Linked DNA regions of Xenopus tropicalis. The protein of the gene in region 2 purifies or fractionates together with the protein of the main gene of each other region. This does not show direct contact. Links are inferred from orthologs where the notes say so. Each region holds a gene or a part of one and is shown on either strand. Other genes may lie near its edges.

Region 1 (5,367 bases), on a different chromosome or scaffold from region 2:
CCTTTAAACTGACTTTTGCGACATAGGCAGAACCTGTTTTAGCGGAGTTTAGATGTTACCTGGCTAGAAGGCTGCTGAATAGACTGAACTGGCTTAGAGTCAATAACTGCAGGGTCTGTTTCTCCATTTGTTTGTGCCAAGTCTGTTGGTCCATTTGTCAATGCTTTCTCCATAATAGGCATTCTTTCAAGGAGTGCAGGCCTAGAAGGATTAAGTTCCTATGAGCTTTCCTTCTCATGGAATAACTGTGATAGCCATAAGCTGTAATAAGGCTATTCCTTACCTCATGTGGTCATATTTCTTGAATAAAGCATTGTATTCTACTGCCCTTTGCTGCAACTCAACATCAATGCTGCTGCCATAGATGGATACCACTTTTTTAATACGGCTACAAAAAAAACAAACAAATGGAACATTACAAATCCATTAGGTCCATTCAGGACCCTGAACTCTAGCTTCTTTTGGAGTAGCAAATTAAAGAAACATAAGCTATACAAGCAGAGACATCCTTCCTTATGGGTCTCATACCGCATGGCATCTAATCTCTGGGTATTAATACTTAATTATTGTATTTATTATACACACATACATAAAGTTATACATACATACATAAAGAGAAAAAAATAAGGATGCAACAAATCCAGAGTCTGGTTTAGAATTGGGACAAATCCCATCATTAGTGCCCTGGTTTTCATGCGCACTGCTGGCACTAGACACCTGAGGATGAACATTATCTCTCACCTAGATGAAATATTCATGGCTATAGTCAGATCACTGTCTGTACTGAAATGCTTATAGGAAAGAAAAGAATATTTATAAACTGGCGCACACCTTTTTACAATTCAAGTTTAAAAAAACGTGAAAGTTAAAGGAGAAAGAAAGGTAAAAACTAAGTAAGCTTTATCAGAAAGGTCTATGTAAATACAGCCAAAAGCACTCACAGAAACCAGAGCCAATCAGCAGGAAGCTGACTCATAGTCTAACTAACTGAGCATGTTCACTTGGTCTGGGTGTCTGTGCAGGAGTGAGGCATTATGGGAACTTTCTTTACACAGCTCAGTGTTTTTCTTCCTGTTTGGCTTCTGATCTTCTGAACAGGTGAAATATGGGGAGACTTAAGGGCACTATTGAGACAATTGAAGGTATGCCTGCAGCTTGAGATTAACTCTTTACTAGCCTTTCTTCTCCTTTAAATAAAGAAACTTGTAAGAGAAAAGCTGCTGTTTCTATTGAACTGTGTCAAACAACTTCTGTGAAAAACAGCAACCACAACTATTAGTTTTTTCTTAAATAGCCTAAAGCTTGAGCATATAAAAAGTTGCAGTCACGTCACCTGAATTTTGTCTTTTTTTCCCCACAATCATGTTTTTTCCCCTTAAACTCAAAAACTGATAACTCTGCTTCCCTGTGTGCCCTTCCCTAAACATTTTATCATCCTCAACTCAAAAAAAGATACCTACTTAACAGTGTTGTTAAACCTAGTGGAGTTTTTCATGATGGCCGTCAGGGCAAAACCTCGCGTAACAGATGTGGACATGTTGGAGATCAAAATGCTTTCTAAAATATCCAGCACCTCATCTTCCGTAACCTAAATTTAAGAAATACAATCTTAGGAAGTGCCAGACAAATCAAACAATACTAGTTTCTTTAGGGACCCCAATTACCTGGATAGGTTCCTCTTCCTCACACTGGCCCGAAACCAGCAGGTCTCCATATTCACCTATGCACCATGAGCAAACTTGGACCAGTGGTTGCTAAAGTATAAAGCCAATGGCAAAAATCATAAATCAATTTATGTTGTATACTATGTCAATGGCTTAAATGTAGCGATTAACATGAACATAACTGTCCATAATATAACTCTTTACCAATCAAATTCCTTCTTTGTGTAAAATTCAGTTCTTTACCTGGGAAATATCATCCAGAATGGCCTTGTAGAGCTTTTGTACAGTATATTCATGCATCTCTGAGCTATTTGTAATTAGCTGAATAAGATTTGGAACTGCATCATCTCGTACATAGCTTCCAGCCTACAAAAATAATGAAAGCAAGAGTAAAGAAAAAAGAAAGGTGAATGGGACAACAGTAGAATAAAGGTTTAAAGGCCAAATTTTCACTTTCAACTCATTGAATTTGTATGACCCCCAAGAGAGCCTAAGGAACCACATATTAGGAATATGCGGCTATACAGATGCTTTGCACACTATGATAATACTGATCAACACTGCAGTGAGGAACTTTTATCTGACCACATCATGAAGGTTAACAAGGAAATGCTTAGGGTAGTTTTCTTTTAAATCTTTACTTACTGTTGTAAGAACTCTCATAATTGTATCTATGTGCCAACGCTTTGAAGGGGCATATCTAAAAGAGTAAAGTGGTCAAAAATAATCTCATTAGTAGCAAAACATTAAAAACAGAAGTGCAAACACAGTTCTAAATTTCGCAGACATGTAGCTCTGCAACATATACTGTATTGTATTGCAATACATTCATTGCAATAATACAGGTATAGGACCTGTTATTCAGAATGCTCTGCTCTGCATGGGGTAATTTGGATCTGCATAACTTAAGTCTGCTAAAAAATTATTTAAATATTGAATAAACCCAAAAACGGGTTTCCGGATAAGGGATCCCATATCTGTACCAGTTATTCTGCTAGCATTTCTGATCCTGTAAAACTGCAGTGTGCTTGTATTAGGGATGCACCGGAACCACCCTGACTGATTCTGCCGAATCCCAAACGGAAGCATATGCTAATTAGAATGGGGAAGGGTTAAAAATTGGCACGCGTTGCACGGCGAAAATTCCCCCCCCCCCCCCCCCCATTTAACCCTTCCGAATGCTAATTAGCATATGCAAATTAGGATTTGGATTCAGTGTGCCCAGGACCGCGGATTCCTTCCAAATCCTTCAATAAAAAAAAAAAAAAAAAAAAAAGATTGGATTTGGCCTGATTCCCGAACCGAATCTGGGATTCGGTGCATCCCTAGTTTGTATGTTCTCCCCATTCTCCCCATAATAGTTTTCTTCTATGTAATCCTTATCTGACACGGTTTTAAAATTTAAAGGCAGGTTAACTGGTTCTTGAAAAAAGAATTGCTGAAAATGTCAGTGCTATGTAAATAAAGGAAAATAACTCTAATATCTCAAAATTATGAAAGCCAACAATATCCTCTGCAGCAAATAAAATTTCCAGCATGCCTTCTTTAGTTAATAGTAGTTGTTATACTTCTAACAAAAACCTAGTGAGGAAAAACCTGCACTATAAATGTATATTACGCCTTGTAAACTGAGTGAATGGTGATCTAGATGTGTCCTAGTCATGTCACATTACATGCTGGAGAACACCGTACATGAAATGGTCATAATATGAAGAAATGTTATATAGTGATTGCACCCACTCTCTTCTAGAATAGAATAGAGAGGCAAATATGCTATACTATGCAAACTAGCATTTTAATGCACTGACACGGTTTACTATACTCCCAGCACAGAGATAATTGCTTTGTAAATGTATGTCCCTTCACTGATGGGCCTGAAATGAGGAAAAAACACAGCCCTAAATATTAATAGACATTACACAAATACCTAACAAAATTATGCTTAGGATATCCACAGAGTTCACTATACCAGACACAATTGTGTTACTACAGGTGCCATACACAGGCTGATCCTGTATGGTATCAGACTGATTGGCCTATAGGCTGAAGGGACCAATACTTAGCATTGATACCTGAGTGTTGAGTGTGTACAATCAGCTAAAGGATGGGGTGGGGGAAGAAAGGTTGTAGAAAGACCCTGTTAAGCGAAGGAGATTCAGGTGGCAACTTTGCAGTTATAGATTTGCACTATCACACAGTAACTGTACCCCATAACATATTAGTCCAGCATATGGATTACATTTTAGCCTTATATTTTGTAGGGTTTTGGTTGCATTGTAATGTCCTTTGCGCAGTGTCACTGTATTGAGCAAGAGCAAGTGGTGTATAATAACACTGCAAGTTACTTACTTTTCTGCAGCTAAGAAGATGCCCGAAGCACAGTCAGCTTTAAATTCAGGTTCACAGGAGTCCAGAAAATACAGAAGCTCTTTCATCATTCCACGGATATTATTCCCATTCACCAAAGCAAAGCTAAGCTCCATTGCTCGCCTTACAAAAAACAAAATACAAAAGGGCATAATGAAGACAATGCCTGGCTTTCTGATGGCAGCCTAAGTAACTGGTGGTCTGAGTAACAGGTCTGGTTGTTGTCAGGTTTTAGGATCTCAGCACGGTAAGTCTCTGCCGATGGATCACTTAATAATCATCACACAACAAACAAAGTATTTACTGTTATCTATATTATAAAATACCATACATCACAACTTTTGGTTGTGTCTACTATAACAAGTATTAGCTCTTGGGGCATTTTAGGTAGTCTCTTACCGTTTAATAGATACATCCAAATCCTTCAGACAATCTACAATGGTGCTACGATGCCTCTGCACTGCATTGTGGTCAGTCTGTACTGTTTTTAGAAGAGATGTCAAGGCCACATACCTAGAAAAGAGAAGATACTTTTTTACATTATGCCCTCTTGCATTTCATTATAACAATAAATACAAAAGTTGATGAAACTTACCGAATATTTTTATCATTATTTAACAAGAATCTTCCCAAAATATTAATAGCTAAAACCTGCAAAAAAAATTGTAGTTGTGTAACTGTATAAAAAGGGAAAGACAGGGTACAAAAGTGGCACATCTGGCTAAAGATAAAGAATATACTGTGGAAAGCACTAGGTGAGTTTAAAAAAGTCAGGAAAAGAAAATGATGAAATGTAACAAAGAAAAGAATAAAAATAAATATACTGGCCTCTAACTTAAGGTGGCCATACACGCACCGATATTATCGTACGAAACCTCGTTTCGTACGATAATCGGTGCGTGTATGGTATGTCAGCGAGCCGACCGATGTCGCAGGAAGCTGCTGAAATCGGTCGGCTCGTCGATCGGCCAGGTTAGAAAATTTTGATCGGGCGCCATAGAAGGCGCCTGACCAAAATTCTCCCTTCAGAGCTGAATCGGCAGAAGGAGGTAGAAATCCTATTGTTTCTACCTCCTTACCTGCCGATTCAGCCCTGAATGGTGTGTGGCGGATCTGACGATGTTTCGTGCGACCGATGGTCGTACGAAACATCGTCGGATCGCCACGTGTATGGCCAGCTTTATATGAAGGAGAATTTTTTTTAAAAAAAAATTCAAGCACAGCAAGGGCTATAAGCAGCACAAAGAGTAATGAGAATGATTTTACTACATATAAGAATGTGACACAGGTAAATAATTATTAATATACACAGGGCAATCAGCGTAAAGAAAGAGTG
Region 2 (4,679 bases):
GAAGATTGAGGTGAGCAGTCCTTACTTGTAACCATTTTGTCACTTATATCCTGGTTCCAATTCGCTAATACATTTAATAGTCTGCAGTTTTCTCTTCATTGTGTCTTGTTCCTTTTCTCTTTGGATAGTTGGACAAGACATTGATAAATGACTGAAAAATAATGTGGTTATTAATTTTGTAGGTGAGGATTCCAACCCCACTCAACACCAGTGGAGTACAGGTCATCTGTATGAAAGGAAAAGCAAAGTATAAGGCCAGTGAGAATGCCATTGTGTGGAAGTAAGAACCTCTTATATCTTTCAATTACAGACCAGGTTTTGGGATGTCCGCATGTGGGATGATGTAAAGCAGGTCCTCATAAATGTTTTATGCCATTCTTTTATTTTATATAGTATTTTAGACAGTTTCAGTTCTAGAGCTGTGCATTCTAGGGTGGGGAAAGCACATCATCAATCCCTTTATTTTTAGAGCTATGTCCTTATGTTCATCTTGATTCAAGTTTTGGGATAGCACACCACCCCGTTACTATTTCTCCACTTTAAGTGAAGGTGCAAATGTGCTTTTTTGATTTATTTGCAGTTGCAGTGTGCACTGTAAAATCAAATGTTTAGCAGCACTGGCCCTTGAAGCACAACACTGACTAGGTGCAATACTAAGCAAAGCTAAAATACAAATGGTCCTAAAGTGATAAAGTATCTAGTTTCATCCTTTTCCAAACGAGGAGATATTTGATGATTTGACTTTGGGACCATGGGCCATATCCATGGCCCAGTGCAGTTCTAAGTTTCTGTTTTTTTTTTTGTTTGTTTGTTTGTTTTTCCAGCCCATTTTATATGTGAACTAGTGCCAGTGCTGGTCAGGAAGGCCATTGTTTTAGGCTCATATTTTTTGTTTGCAGCAAAAGAAGAGAAATTAATTTCTGTCAAAATGTATCCTCTAAAATGACATTAAAGCCCAGATTATGTCCAAACTTAAATGTTGTACTTTGATGGGGAAAGCCCCATAGAAATACATTTATTGGTTTAACACTTACTTTGCAGAATAAAGCGCATGGCTGGTATGAAGGAATCTCAGATAAGTGCAGAGATTGAGCTGCTTCCTACTAATGATAAGAAGAAATGGGCTCGGCCTCCAATATCCATGAACTTTGAGGTGAGCAAAATAAGCTTTTGGTATGGGAGCCACATGTAGGGCAGAAGATTCCCCTTAAAGAATGTAGATCTGGGAATCCATTATCCAAATTACTGGATGGCCATCTTCCATAGAGCACATTTTAAGCAAATAATTTATACTTTATTTCCTTTTTTTCCTTTAAGTAGACAAGTGGGGGTTATGTAGTAAAAGGCACTACGTTTGCCCAGGAGTAGTAGCCCATAGCAACAAATCAACAGGTAGCATTTACTAGTCACCTATTTAAAAGCAAACATCCTTATTGCTTGATATAAATAACTGCTGCTGGGCAAACTGCCTTTTATTACATATGGGGGTTATGGCCTTGTCCCACAGGGAGATTAGTCGCCCGCTGTTAAATCTCAGCTACTGCGGGTGGCTAATCTTCCTGTAATGCCCTCCCACCGCCAGTACAGTGAATTGCCGGTGGGAAGGCATTTTAGTGAGATTAGTTTGCCCAGAAGCAGGCGCTTTGTTTTCCGAAGTTTCCTTCTGACTGTAAGGTGATGGTGATCATAATTATAAAAAGACCCCTTATCCAGAGGACCCCAATGTCCCCCAGGTCCCAAGCATTCTTGATCCCATACTTATATTAGTATTTTGTTTTGGGTAGCTTATGCCCCATAAAGTTTAGCTGACGGTCTATCAAGCAGTTGTTTTTTTTTTTCTATTTTAGGTCCCGTTTGCCCCATCTGGGCTCAAAGTGCGTTACCTGAAGGTGTTTGAACCAAAACTAAACTACAGCGACCATGATGTGATCAAATGGGTGCGATACATTGGCCGCAGTGGGATCTATGAGACACGGTGTTAATACATCACAAAACTCAGAAAGAAGTGGGCCCCGTCTCTTAACTTGCATTTCTTTTTATTGAGAAAAGGAAGTCAACATGCTAACCAAGGGGTCAGAATGGGTAGGATTAAAGGTGTGAGATAGCCCTTCCTTTTTCCCACCTGACCATAATATCCACCTTTGCTCCATTATACTTTTAATAACAATTCTTGCTGTTCCCTTCTTTAGCATTGGAGAGCGTTATCATTTATAAGATGCGCTCTCTATGATATGGAGTATCCTCTGGGCCATAGCTGCTATGTGGTTTCCCAATAACCACCTCCCATCTAGCACAGACCAGGCCGTATCTTATCTCACTCCCATCTGTGAATATTGATGACCGATAGTATTCTTGTATAGTGTAGTGCTTTCCACAATCATCCCAACCTTACTACTCATCATGGAACTGGCAGCCTTCTTGGGTTCAATGTTCCCTAGTATTTCTTTCAAATATATACAATTTTAACACTGTCAAAGGCCAGCAGAGTAGGAACAACTGGGCAGAAGTTTCAGAGCATTGGGTTCAGTATGTGGCATGGGAGGTTTTGCATTGTCTCTTCATGGAATAACTCAAGCACTCTATTATATGTGACCAAATAAGAGGTGAGGGATAAGTTCTACAGGTGCTCATGTTACAGCTGAAGGTTGTGTAAGAAAGTATAAATTGTGCACTTCTGTGTCCTTTAGCTCCTGCAGTAACAGGGAGTGTATGGATTTAACCATATCATAGCCAGTTAATCATTAGTGCTGGCACAGGAATGATTTTGCTATTTGTGGCAGTGTGACTTCCCCCTCACATCTCTGTGCTCCTTGTGTTGTGATTTGCTCTGTTTTTCTTTGTGACGCTCAAACTGTACAAGTAATAAACAGCGTAGAACACATCTGTCTGTCTAGTGGTTATTTCAGCAACATTGGGACATGATTGTGGCTTATTATGGGATTTAAAATCATCGATAAACTGTACTGGTCCACGGTAGTAGATGAACTCCATAATGCAGATTGCCCTTCCCAGGACTCTTAAGGCATGCTTGGCAAATATCTTTGGCAACATAGTTACTAACCAATACTAATGTATGTGGGATCAGTGGTTGAATAAACATCCTATTTCCACCGAACATAATGAGTAGCAGCATAAATGTATTCTAGTATTTCTTTATGTACATTAGGAAGGTACCCAGAAGTGACAAACTTTTTGCTTTCTTAAGTTTTCTATGATGTTGAATGCATGTTTTTTTATTTTTACTGTATATCTTTAATTCTACTGTTTAAAAAAAAACAAAAAACGATCAAATAGGTCTTTAGCCTTCCAGACTCTAATCGTCAAACTTCTTGTCATTAGATCTGCACTCCACATGAACAATGAAACAAAGAATTAGCTGGGGGGAACAGAAAGATGCAATGTTCTTGGAAAATAACTTTATTGTTAGGCCTTATGGCATGCCTTTTTAGGTGTAAAAATGAAGCTTTTTTTGCTAGAAAATTGCATCTTCTACTTCTTTGATTCACATTCAAGAACACTATATGTAGATTAATGGAAAAACCCATATTTCAGCCTCCACTCGCATAAGTAGTGCATTTGCTGAAAAAAATGAGGTTCCCAAGAAAATGTACAATTTGATATTCGCTTATCAGAAAAACATTTTGATGGTGAATATGAAAACTGATTTATAAATGTTAAGTTATATAGTGCTTGTACTATTCATTTATTACTAGTCCCATAACACTTTTTCAACAAAAAAGTGCAGTATCAGGAATATACAGTATATTTTATTCCTAGAAGGTTCAAAGGTGTTTTTAAAGTTAATTAGTGATGCACATTTTGTTTGGGGCCAAAGCTTCCTTCTAACCTAGCATTCCCTTGTTACTGCCTGTAGGGAGGTTGGCAAATTACTTTAAAGAGATTATTTATCATTTTCATCAGTCTCTGCCTCAGTGGAGCTTACAGTTATATAAACATAAAATGTTGAACTTACTATGTTAGTCTAAGGTCCCTATCACATTTACACTAGTTAACTTCATCAAGAGCCAGTTAACCTACCTGGCCAATATAATCTGCCAACAGACCTAGTCGGCATCTTATATGGGGCCCTTCCATGGGCTTACCTGACCGATATCTGGCAGGAAATTGGGGCGAGGAGCACATTGGCTTGTTGATGCATTCCTCACCCTGACTAGCTGCAATCCCGCCAACGTGACCCAGTCGTTTGGCCCTTGCCCACCTCAAGGTGGGCATATTGGTGATACATCTTTCAGTGTATTCCTTAAGCTTGCATTGGGAAGCCAATGAACAACCTGGCTGTAGATTTTGGATTGTGGGAAGAAACAGGAGTGCCTGTGCAAGGTGGCAGTGCTAACCACTGTTCCTCGATATTATTTGGTTGTCCAACAAAGCCTGGCAAAAATAATTCCAAGTAATAAGTAAACTACAGAAGTGACTGTGTATTTTCACAGCGGAAACATTGCATTCCAAAACGCATGATTAACTCCAATTATATTCACATACAACCTATATACTTTGACATTCTATGCCTAACTTCACAACATACTGTATATACTCGAGTATGAGCCTAGTTTTTTAGCACCCAAAATGTGCTGAAAAAGTTACCCTTGGCTTATACTCGAGCCTGGTGCCATAATGGCCCATGCCCACCTTCTTTACCAGGCAGCTTCTTTAATTTT
Region 3 (5,367 bases), on a different chromosome or scaffold from region 2:
CTGGCAGTTAACGATTTGTCCATATTATTGTGATGCAAAATAGGCCTTCAATCGCCCCTTACTTGATCTTAGAAGGTCAAATTCCCTGTCCAGTAATTCTTCTTCTGTTAACTTAGAGAAATTGTCATCTCCGAATGGGTTCCACCCAGACATATCTGGTGGGTTGCTGCTGTTGTGTTTAGGAACACTAGAACCAGTTTCCATTTCTGAAATGTTCGTAGATCTAAGAAAAAAAATATATAAATATATATATTATATATATTTATATTATATATATATAGTCTCGTAAAGAATCGGCACTCACCAATATCGGGGCAACGGCTGGGTGCTGACAAAAATAATGCATCAAACTCAACAGTAGAAAGCACTCACAGCTATAGCATCAATCAAGTCAGTGATTTATTTCAGCATACCATCTACGCGTTACGATCACCACAGGATCCTGATGATGATGATCCTGTGGTGATGGAAACGCGTAGATGGTATGCTGAAATAAATCACTGACTTGATTGATGCTATAGGTGTGAGTGCTTTCTACTGTTGAGTTATATATATATATATATATATATATATATACACATATACACATATGCACATTATTATTTGTTACCAACATATTCACTAATATCTGCCCCAAAAGAAACAATTATCTTTTAAAGATTGGGGGGGGGGGGGGGGATTCCTTGTCCTTAAAATGCCCTTAGGCATGTAAGTGCTAACTGGAAAGCAAATTCCAATTCAAAATTATCTTGGCATTACAGCAGTGGCAGTTTTTTACCAAACAAGTATATACACAGGGGTTTGACAATAACAATAATAAAACTGTAGCCCCACATGGCAACGAGTTTTCTGTACCACGACTTGAAAGCAGGGTAGAGAAAGAACAAGAAGAATACATCAGCTGAAAAAAATTCCAAGCATAGGACTATGTCTATGAAGGTTTTTATTCATCCAGTTCATGGCATATCTAGCAATAAATTTAGAGCAAATGGACTGATACAGGAAGTTCTTGGCATATAAACTCTTCCAATAATGCAATCACGATGGTACTGAAATGGTTGTACTGGCAGATAAATAAGATTACTGAAATCTTAGTACAATGCAGCTTTTGAGGAAGCGGCGTGAGGCCATGAAACGCGTCAAGCGAATGGTACATAGCCTGTTTTTTAAATGGACTGAATAAACAGTGATTTTTATCCAGCGATGTTTGGGTGCACGGTACATTTTTTCTGATTGGTGGAGTGATATGCTGTCTGGGTCTCGGCAGTACACAGCTGTGACCAGTAAGTGCTCCCATGAATAATTAATATTAGTACAAAGTTAAGCCTGGGACTGGTGCAAATGCCACTTTGAAGTCAGGAACTAGTTTTCTCCTCCTCTGAAGAAAATCGGAAAAGCTCCAGATGGGGTTCTGGATCAACCAGCAGTTAGGTTTTATTTAGACCAAAAGGATGTAAATGTGTCTTGTTTCAGTCTATATTACAATGGTACCATGTATGTAACTACCCTTTGAATAGAATTTGAACAGATATGAATCCCTTAGGGCTCAAATATTTTTAAAGGACATGTCAACCCCCCAACCAATAATTTTAGCAGAGAAAAGCCTCACAGCACTATTTAAATATGTGCCACTCCTGTCCCTCAGAAGCAAACACTGAAGCTGCAGCAATCCCTTGGAGTTTCTCTCACTGCAGAGCTGTGTAACTCCCTCTCCCCCCTCCCTTCAGAATCTCCTTGTCTGCCTGGCGTGATGCACATGCCCAGTTCCAAGCCGTTTTAATGAGCATGCTCACTTGAGATGAATCTCTTCTCTACACAGCAGATGATTGAACTCTTTAACCACGCCCACAGTCAATCCTCCAATGAGCCGATCTCATAGACAGTTGCTATACTAACTCTGCCTTTGTAAACAAGAGCTCTCTGCTCCCTCTCTTGGAACATGTTCTTCTGACTGCAGGCAGGAAAGTTTAACCTTTTCACCGCTGAATCTGAACTGCAGGTATTTTGTAAGTGAGTCTTGCAAGCTTAAACAGTGTTTGCTGAAATACTTAAGCAATGTACACTTCATTCCTGTTTAATTTTATTGTTCTTTAATGCCCTAACAGTTTCATTTTAAGGAAAAAGCTGTCTGTCAGCTTTGTTTAAAAAAGCAGAAGCTTAAAAAAAAATCCTTGAAGAGGTCAGGCGCGCAAAATGGCCGCCGGATGACACGCAAAACGTTTAAGTGGGGGTAAGGCGCCCTATCCATTAGAAGTGAAATTAAAATTAGGGTTGACATCTCCTTTAATAATACAAATACTAGCCTTGTTAGTGTTACTGTTCTGCCTGTTTCCCAGCTGTAAATTACCTCTGAAGCCAAGAACGCCATAAAGCTATAGCTGTATTGTTATTAATTTTTTATTGCTTATATATTTCTATTTGGCCCCACTTCTTATCATTTCCTTTTGCTAGGGCACCTAGACAGAAGTGGAAATTTCAAGCCTGTGACCTGCAGAACAATAACAAGTAAATACCACAAAAAATACAAAAAAAATAAAAACATGAAGACCATTTACAAATTTTCTTAGAATACTAGTTCTATACTAACTAAAGGGTAATTGTAAGGTGAACTACCCCTGTAAAGACAGGCCATACATGTCCATTGAAATTTTGCAATTGTTCCATTTGTTGGAGTCCATCTCCCCAAAGACCAGAACAGCAGGATGAAATAAGTAACTGCAGAGATGCAGATCCTGATAACTTTAAGAGCTGAAATTGCAACTCTGAAATAGTTTTTATGCATCAATAGCGCTTTCTGCACTAGAAGAGTCAAAATTCTTAAGTGCAGAGTGGCAGGAAGCATCACCCACACCACCTCAAGATGGCACTGGGGTCAAAATGCCTCTGCATCAGGGCCAATAATTCTTGATCCAGCAAGATAGCAGGATCATAAGCCTCAGGGTCCCCATGACGGGCCTAGGTGGTCAGACATTAAGGTCAAAATAAGCTGAACTGGCCAGCCTTCTATACTTGCCATTGTTTTTTACTTATCCCATTACCTTAAGATTAACAACACCCTCAGTGCAAGACTCTTCACTACCTGGTTGTCTCTACATCAAAACTGTTGTTAATATAGGGATGCAAAGAGTCCAGGATTCGGTTTGGGATTTGGCCAAGATTCTGCCTTTTTCAGCAGGATTCGGATTCAGCTGAATCTATGGTCCTGGCCGAATCTGTATCCTTAAAATCATGTGACTTTTCATCACATAAACAAGGAAGTTGAAAATTTTTCTTTTTAAACCTTCGTTTATTTGATCTGCATATGCAAATTAGGATTCGATTCGGTATTCGCCCGAATCTTTCACAAAGGATTGGGGGTTTAGCCGAATCCCAAAATAGTGAATTCGGGGCATTCCTATGTTAATATGAAAATACCTAGATTTTGAGTTTAGTTGTACTAGGTGGTTTTAATATACCACATTTCTTATTACCTGGTACTGCATGAGTTTCCCAGTCCTCCCACTTGCTCAGATAATGAGGCTGCATATGAAACTGGTGTAATCTCTTGAGGAGATCTCAGGTGCTGAATATGCGGCTGATGCTGAACAAGGACTTGCGGTTGATGCTGTATATGTGTCTGTTGATATTGATGAACCTTTGAAAACATGATATAAAATATACTGGAGCAGAAATGTATGACAATTTCACAACTAGATCATTCTGTGTTATAACCATAGCATTTCAGTCAAACTAATAAAAAGAGCAATTGACTCAGGTTTTTCTTTGTTATGGAAAATACCCATGACATAGCTGAAGGCATCTCTTGCCTCATAACAGGCTTTAGATTTAAGAAATGTGGCTCCTAAAAGTTTACTAAAACAAGGATATATTTAGTGGGAAGCTCAAACAAAAGAAAACAGTAACAGGGACTTCAAACCCCACAAAAAAAGCACCCATGAACTATGCGCAAGAAAATGTGATATGGTACACTATTAACATTGGCTTTATTTTACTATCATATTACAATCAATATCAAGCGTAAGGTCACTACTCTGACAAGACTTGTTTGATGAGAACGTTTTTTTTTTTTTTAACACCCACAGAACAGGATTGAATGTGACTATAGTCTATGATGAACTAACACATTGATCCACTTCAATAAATTAATAGGAGCTTTACAAAAATTTTGCAACTGATGCAAATTCTTAATTCACTAGCCCAAATTTTACTAAATCTGCTTATTAGTGTATTTTTCTTACCATGGTTGGAAATGTAAGTGGATGCTGTTGCTGCTGGTAAATGGAATGCATCAGAAATTGCTGCTGAAGAATCTGCTGTTGAAGTGCTTGCTGATACTATTAAAAAAATGATACAGCCTTAATTACTGCTTTTTGCTGTAACCCTTTAACTAAACCAAAAGTGCTAAAATTGAGGTTTGAAATGCTTTTTAATTCAACCACCCAACAGCAAAACACAACCATTATTGCTATTACAAAATATATAAATAAACCTGTATGAAAATGTTTCCTTTCCTTCCACCTTTTTTAAATTCCTCTTTCTTATTTAAAATAAAAGCACAAACTCTTTTTTTCATCAGATGCATTTGCAGTATTTTTGATGTTTCGCTGGTGTAATAATGGCAGTATAAGGATGTCTTGTGGCTGTACTGTTAATAAGTCGTAATTTGCTGTACTCGCATCTTAGTAATCCATTGCAAATTGTCGTTTTTGTTAAAAGCTCAATAATTTGTGAACTTGTTGCTAAATACTTGAGTCCCACATTCCAAACAATATATCAACCACAACAAAAAAATCCTAAGTAAAGCAAAGGGTTCTTTATAACAGTACTCTTGCCCAGTGTGAGCTGCAGTGTAAATGTGTATACTGGTATAATAATGGTGTTCGTTATACAGTATCTTAATAATTATTATTAGTAGAAGTAGCAGTAGTAGAACACTGGTTTTACTAGTAGTGTTAACACATAAAATACAAACACATTCAACAACACTGATGGGTGTATAAACTGAATATGTAGATTAAATACATTGTACAAAATACATATGATAACCAATACAAGTAAAACAAGCCACAGCTCAATAGGGCTTAAACATTAATGTATATGAAATGTTTCTAGGGGAATAAAGGTTCCTTCATTACTACATTCCTACATATGCTTGTGCAGAAACATTTTGTTTTTGACACGTTTTAATTGCCACAAAGCAGGCGGTAAGTAAAGGCCCCATATCAGCCTGTGCATGCTGTTGCTCTCCAACTTGCGTATCTGAATGATGCCTACAAGTCATCGCTCATGAAAACAGAGCTGTTGAATAAAGGCAGCACTGTGATTATCACTGGAACACAGAGACCTGCAGCTATTCATCTAACATGC
Region 4 (5,367 bases), on a different chromosome or scaffold from region 2:
TTTTAAGATATTCAAGGCTCTTATATATCAAACCATTATTACTGACGCTTAATGATGTCACCTGGCACAGTTGCCTTCCCCTGCCATCCCACCGGCAAACATGTAAGTCACCGGTGGGATGGCAGACGCGGCGGCGCGATTTAGCGCAAATCGCCGAAAAAGACTCGCGAGTCTTTTTCGGCGATTTCCCGAAATCGCCCCGCCGCGTCTGCCATCCCGCCGGCGACTTACATGTTCGCCGGTGGGATGGCAGGGGAAGGCAACTCGGGGAGATTAGTCGCCCGCGAACAGGGAGTTTTGCCGCGGGCGACTAATCTCCCCGTGTGCCAGAGCCCTAAAAAGTGGAGTGAAACATTACCAGTGATGTTGCTCATAGCAGCCAATCAGATGCTTTGCTTTGATTTTCTAACTGTTGAAATCTAATTGCTGATTGGTTGCCCTGGGCAACATCACCAGTAATGCTTCACTCCACGTTTTACATGGCATGATAAATATACCCCTTACTGTCCAGGGCATGTAAAGAAAAATCATGACTAGCAACATTAAAACAATGTAACTGGAGTCTGTTCTACTCTAGGCCTCTTATTCAGCAGGCTTGCAACATTGTCTGGGTGTTTATATTCTCTCACCCCTCAAACAGACACTTTTTTCAATAGCAAAATTACATTTATCCTCTATTTGTATTATTTTATGTGATTACATATATATTACACATTATGGGAAAGAGTTATCAAAACGTGAGGTTAAAGCCCACAACATAAAATTTAACCCACTCTCTATTGATTTCTAAGGGATTTTCAAAAGTGTGTTTATAAAGGGGTGAAAAGTTAGAGCTCACCATTTGATAAAGAACCCCTCTGAACATCCCACAGAAATTAATAGGAAGTGGGTGAATATTTCTGTGGTGAGCTCTAATCTCACACCTTGATAAATATTTCCCTAAGTATTTAAATGGAAGCCAAAGTTACTTTGCTATTAAAATACAACTTAAGTATAACACTATTAAGGCAAATGTATTTATATAATGCGTTGCGATTATCCGGAAACAGTACTTTATATAACAACTTAAATGTAAGTTTACGGGGAAAAAAAAAAAAACCATCCTTGGCAATCTACAAAACTGATTACTGTTGACAGTAAAATCATTTTACAACACAGAATGCTTAGATTTCCTCAACAGATACTAAATCTCTAAATGTAAATATATCAGCATTTGCCACTTTTTTTTTTCAGACAAAAGCTCATGAAACCCATCAGCTATTGTCTGTTTTCCAGAGGGATCAAGGAAGGAAGGAAGAACAGATTTAGCCTTTAGAAAATCTCCAGCATCATCTAAATATGGGCTGACTGATAGGGGCTTGAATTCAAGTTGTAGTCCTATTTTTGTTTAGTTAATAGGCCTCCATCTCACCCAATGTCTAATGTTCAACAGTCCTATATACAAGCCAACTGGCTCAGCAGAATTAATGAAAAGAGGATAATTTGTTTTTTTCAGTAAAATAAATAGTAGTTCATATATGCACAATTAGGGGGAAATGGAAAAGAATCTTTACAAATGGTCATCAGCTAAAATCAAAGAATGGCAATTGATGGAACTGAGCAGCTAAATGCTAAGTACAAACTCCACCAGAAGCTCTGTCCAGTCCCCCCCCCCCCCCCCTCTCTTAGACATAAGCTTGTTCTGTTCAACCATAGTCTGCCTCTTTTTTACAGGGACCATTTCCCAAGCCCAGGCATTGAAGAGATTCAGCTCCAACCTTACTCCATACTGAATGAAGGATTCTGGGACTTCTGGGCTACTTCAAGTCCCAGTATCCATCACTTCAGTATCAAACAAGGTGCAATGGCAATTTGTACTAAAATGCTTAATTCTACATCAAAATAAAAGCTATTTTTAACGTGAACATCCCCTTTTAAAATAATTAACCATCCATTTCTTTGTGTAGTTCACATTTAAATTAAAATTTAGTGTGTTATAGAATGGAGTATTCTTAGCACCTTTTACATTTTTGTTTTTTATTAAATTTTTTGGGGGGTTTCAGTTTTTTTTTTCTATTTTCTGAATTACTAGCTTTGCTCTGTGAGGCTGCAGTTTTATTGTTATTGATACCTTTAATTACTTTCAGTCTCCCATTCGCGCCACTGCTTAGTTACTAGAGTAAATTGGACCCCGCTATTAGATAGCTGCTATTTAGTTGCTAGGGTTCAGCAGTTGGAGAGTTGCTCAACAAAAAGCTAAATAACTCAAAATTCAATAACTAAAAAAATAAAGAGTAATTACGAACTGCCTCAAAATATCTGTCACTGTCTACATTTTAATAAAGGTGAACTCTTTCTTGAAACTATAAATTGCATTTCCCTATTCTCCAATAGCATATTGTTAGTAGTACTGTTGGTAGTACACAGCTCATTTTGCAAAATAAGAAGGAAAGTAAATTAATTGGAAGCCCACATACTGCACATTCACACAAGTAGATCACTCACTCACAGAAAACATGATTAATCCCATACACTGTGCCAAACTCTGGCAGTCGTTTCTTTTGTACCTGAACAGTAGGGCTCAGCACAATAGAAATGTTCTGTATGTTCATTTTTGTTTCAAGTTCCTTCTCTATGACATGGTCCATGTGCACTATTAGCCATGAAGTCAGGCAGAAGTTGCATTCTGGCAGTTCCTTCAATAAGCGCTGACACTCCTGCAGCCTCTCCCCTTCTGTACTTTTGCCACACGCCTCCTCAAACCGTGGCATTAGATCTTTGGTCAGCACATTTTCTGGTAGCTCCCGCAGGTATTGCTTTAATAAACTTGCCACTGTGTATGGCTCATAATCCTCCAGGTTTGGAGACTCCCCTCTGTCATAAGCTGCCTTTAGCTCATCCACCTTCGACTTTATTCCTGGGAAAGCAAAAATAATAAGCACTAAATAAGTTCATATATACACTTTATAAAAGAATATAATATATAAAAGAATATAACAAGAATGTAACAGCATTTTATACACGTGGTCCTGCCCTTATTTTATCTCCAATAAATGTATATAGTGCTGCTTGTGTCTCGGTATGGGGCATTTCATTGGATTTTTACTTCAACTCCATGCTAACTGCTGACTATACTTAAAGGGATACTGTTGCCAGAATTCAAAAGGTATACATCTTTAACTGAAAATAATGTAAAATCTTAAACCATTAGCAACACCAAACATTTAATAACCCATGTACAGTGGAGGAAATAATTATTTGACCCCTCACTGATTTTGTAAGTTTGTCCAATGACAAAGAAATGAAAAGTCTCAGAACAGTATCATTTCAATGGTAGGTTTATTTTAACAGTGGCAGATAGCACATCAAAAGGAAAATCGAAAAAATAACTTTAAATAAAAGATAGCAACTGATTTGCATTTCATTGAGTGAAATAAGTTTTTGAACCCCTACCAACCATTAAAAGTTCTGGCTCCCACAGAGTGGTTAGACACTTCTACTCAATTAGTCGACCTCATTAAGGACACCTGTCTTAACGAGTCACCTGTATAAAAGACACCTGTCCACAGAATCAATCAATCAAGCAGACTCCAAACTCTCCAACATGGGAAAGACCAAAGAGCTGTCCAAGGATGTCAGAGACAAAATTGTAGACCTGCACAAGGCTGGAATGGGCTACAAAACCATTAGCAAGAAGCTGGGAGAGAAGGTGACAACTGTTGGTGCGATTGTTCGAAAATGGAAGGAGCACAAAATGACCATCAATCGACCTCGCTCTGGGGCTCCACGCAAGATCTCACCTCGTGGGGTGTCAATGATTCTGAGATTGGTGAAAAAGCATCCAAGAACTACACGGGAGGAGTTAGTTAATGACCTCAAATTAGCAGGGACCACAGTCACCAAGAAAACCATTGGAAACACATTACACCGCAATGGATTAAAATCCTGCAGGGCTCGCAAGGTCCCCCTGCTCAAGAAGGCACATGTGCAGGCCCGTCTGAAGTTTGCCAATGAACACCTGAATGATTTTGTGAGTGACTGTGTTTGGAGGAAGAAAAATGCTGCCTATGACCCCCAAAACACCGTCCCCACAGTCAAGCATGGGGGTGGAAACATTTTGCTTTGGGGGTGTTTTTCTGCTAAGGGCACAGGACAACTTATTCGCATTAACGGGAAAATGGACGGAGCCATGTATCGTGAAATCCTGAACGACAACCTCCTTCCCTCTGCCAGGAAACTGAAAATGGGTCGTGGATGGGTGTTCCAGCACGACAATGACCCAAAACATACAGCAAAGGCAACAAAGGAGTGGCTCAAGAAGAAGCACATTAAGGTCATGGAGTGGCCTAGTCAGTCTCCGGACCATAATCCAATAGAAAACCTAGGAGGGAGCTCAAGCTCAGAGTTGCACAGAGACAGCCTCGAAACCTTAGGGATTTAGAGATGATCTGCAAAGAGGAGTGGACCAACATTCCTCCTAAAATGTGCGCAAACTTGGTCATCAATTACAAGAAACGTTTGACCTCTGTGCTTGCAAACAAGGGTTTTTCCACTAAGTATTAAGTCTTTTTTTGTTAGAGGGTTCAAAAACTTATTTCACTCAATGAAATGCAAATCAGTTGCTATCTTTTATTTAAAGTTATTTTTTCGATTTTCCTTTTGATGTGCTATCTGCCACTGTTAAAATAAACCTACCATTGAAATGATACTGTTCTGAGACTTTTCATTTCTTTGTCATTGGACAAACTTACAAAATCAGTGAGGGGTCAAGTAATTATTTCCTTCACTGTAAATGGTAAGATATAAACTAAACAAACATAAGAGAAGTAAAATATAACTTATTAAGGAAAGTAAATATTATTGTATTGTTAATATATTTATGCAAGTTAAGTTAATTAACCAGAACAAGTTTTGTATTTTTCAATAATTTTCAGACTTACCAGACACTCTGTAGATGCCTTCACATTTCATCCCATGTTGCTCTATGTAGTCAATGCATTCCCTAAATACTGCTGGTAACCTTATCCCATCATACATCATGGTGCGCTCTGCAGCTTCAACCAGAGGAATGCCAAACATAGGCCTCAGCCTGGGGATATCCACAGGGAGAGACTCAGGCTCAGGAGTGGGCTTCTTTTTTTTCTTCTTCTCTTTCCACTGTTTGACTACATCTGCTGCAGTCAGGTCCTTGGACTTCTTTTCTTTGTGCTTATCTTCCTTGTGCTTGTCTTCTTTTGGTTTCTCCTTTATTTTGAAATCTTTCTCTTTCTTCTTGGAAAAACTGGGCTTCTTGAATACATGGATTCCCTTAGATCTCTTCATTTTTGATGGGCTTTCAGCTTCATCCCCAGAACTGTCCTCTTGAAATGCAGCATACCCCTCCGCTGA

The links.
Region 1: the proteins of ap2m1 (region 2) and ap1g1 purify together in Homo sapiens (affinity purification with mass spectrometry; 3 studies listed by BioGRID and IntAct, counting the BioPlex papers as one, with this or other methods). This does not show direct contact. The link is inferred for Xenopus tropicalis from reciprocal best matches to the Homo sapiens genes AP2M1 and AP1G1.
Region 3: the proteins of ap2m1 (region 2) and bmp2k purify together in Homo sapiens (affinity purification with mass spectrometry; 3 studies listed by BioGRID and IntAct, counting the BioPlex papers as one, with this or other methods). This does not show direct contact. The link is inferred for Xenopus tropicalis from reciprocal best matches to the Homo sapiens genes AP2M1 and BMP2K.
Region 4: the proteins of ap2m1 (region 2) and ralbp1 purify together in Homo sapiens (affinity purification with mass spectrometry; 3 studies listed by BioGRID and IntAct, counting the BioPlex papers as one, with this or other methods). This does not show direct contact. The link is inferred for Xenopus tropicalis from reciprocal best matches to the Homo sapiens genes AP2M1 and RALBP1.

The regions. Positions count from the first base shown.
Region 1 is NC_030680.2:59,353,909-59,359,275, reverse strand, and holds part of ap1g1 (AP-1 complex subunit gamma-1), read right to left. Parts: intron 4,683-5,367; coding exon 4,627-4,682; intron 4,545-4,626; coding exon 4,431-4,544; intron 4,326-4,430; exon of another isoform or gene 4,247-4,325; intron 4,155-4,246; coding exon 4,014-4,154; intron 2,365-4,013; coding exon 2,310-2,364; intron 2,031-2,309; coding exon 1,908-2,030; intron 1,755-1,907; coding exon 1,665-1,754; intron 1,589-1,664; coding exon 1,461-1,588; intron 389-1,460; coding exon 284-388; intron 202-283; coding exon 60-201; intron 1-59. UniProt on the Homo sapiens protein: Subunit of clathrin-associated adaptor protein complex 1 that plays a role in protein sorting in the late-Golgi/trans-Golgi network (TGN) and/or endosomes.
Region 2 is NC_030681.2:100,102,726-100,107,404, reverse strand, and holds the end of ap2m1 (AP-2 complex subunit mu), read left to right. Parts: coding exon 1-10; intron 11-182; coding exon 183-280; intron 281-1,041; coding exon 1,042-1,153; intron 1,154-1,847; coding exon 1,848-1,982; 3' UTR 1,983-2,881; downstream 2,882-4,679.
Region 3 is NC_030677.2:94,841,578-94,846,944, reverse strand, and holds part of bmp2k (BMP-2-inducible protein kinase), read right to left. Parts: intron 4,335-5,367; coding exon 4,239-4,334; intron 3,635-4,238; coding exon 3,471-3,634; intron 224-3,470; coding exon 63-223; intron 1-62. UniProt on the Homo sapiens protein: May be involved in osteoblast differentiation.
Region 4 is NC_030682.2:104,592,007-104,597,373, reverse strand, and holds part of ralbp1 (ralA-binding protein 1), read right to left. Parts: intron 5,364-5,367; coding exon 4,920-5,363; intron 2,897-4,919; coding exon 2,547-2,896; intron 1-2,546. UniProt on the Homo sapiens protein: Multifunctional protein that functions as a downstream effector of RALA and RALB. As a GTPase-activating protein/GAP can inactivate CDC42 and RAC1 by stimulating their GTPase activity.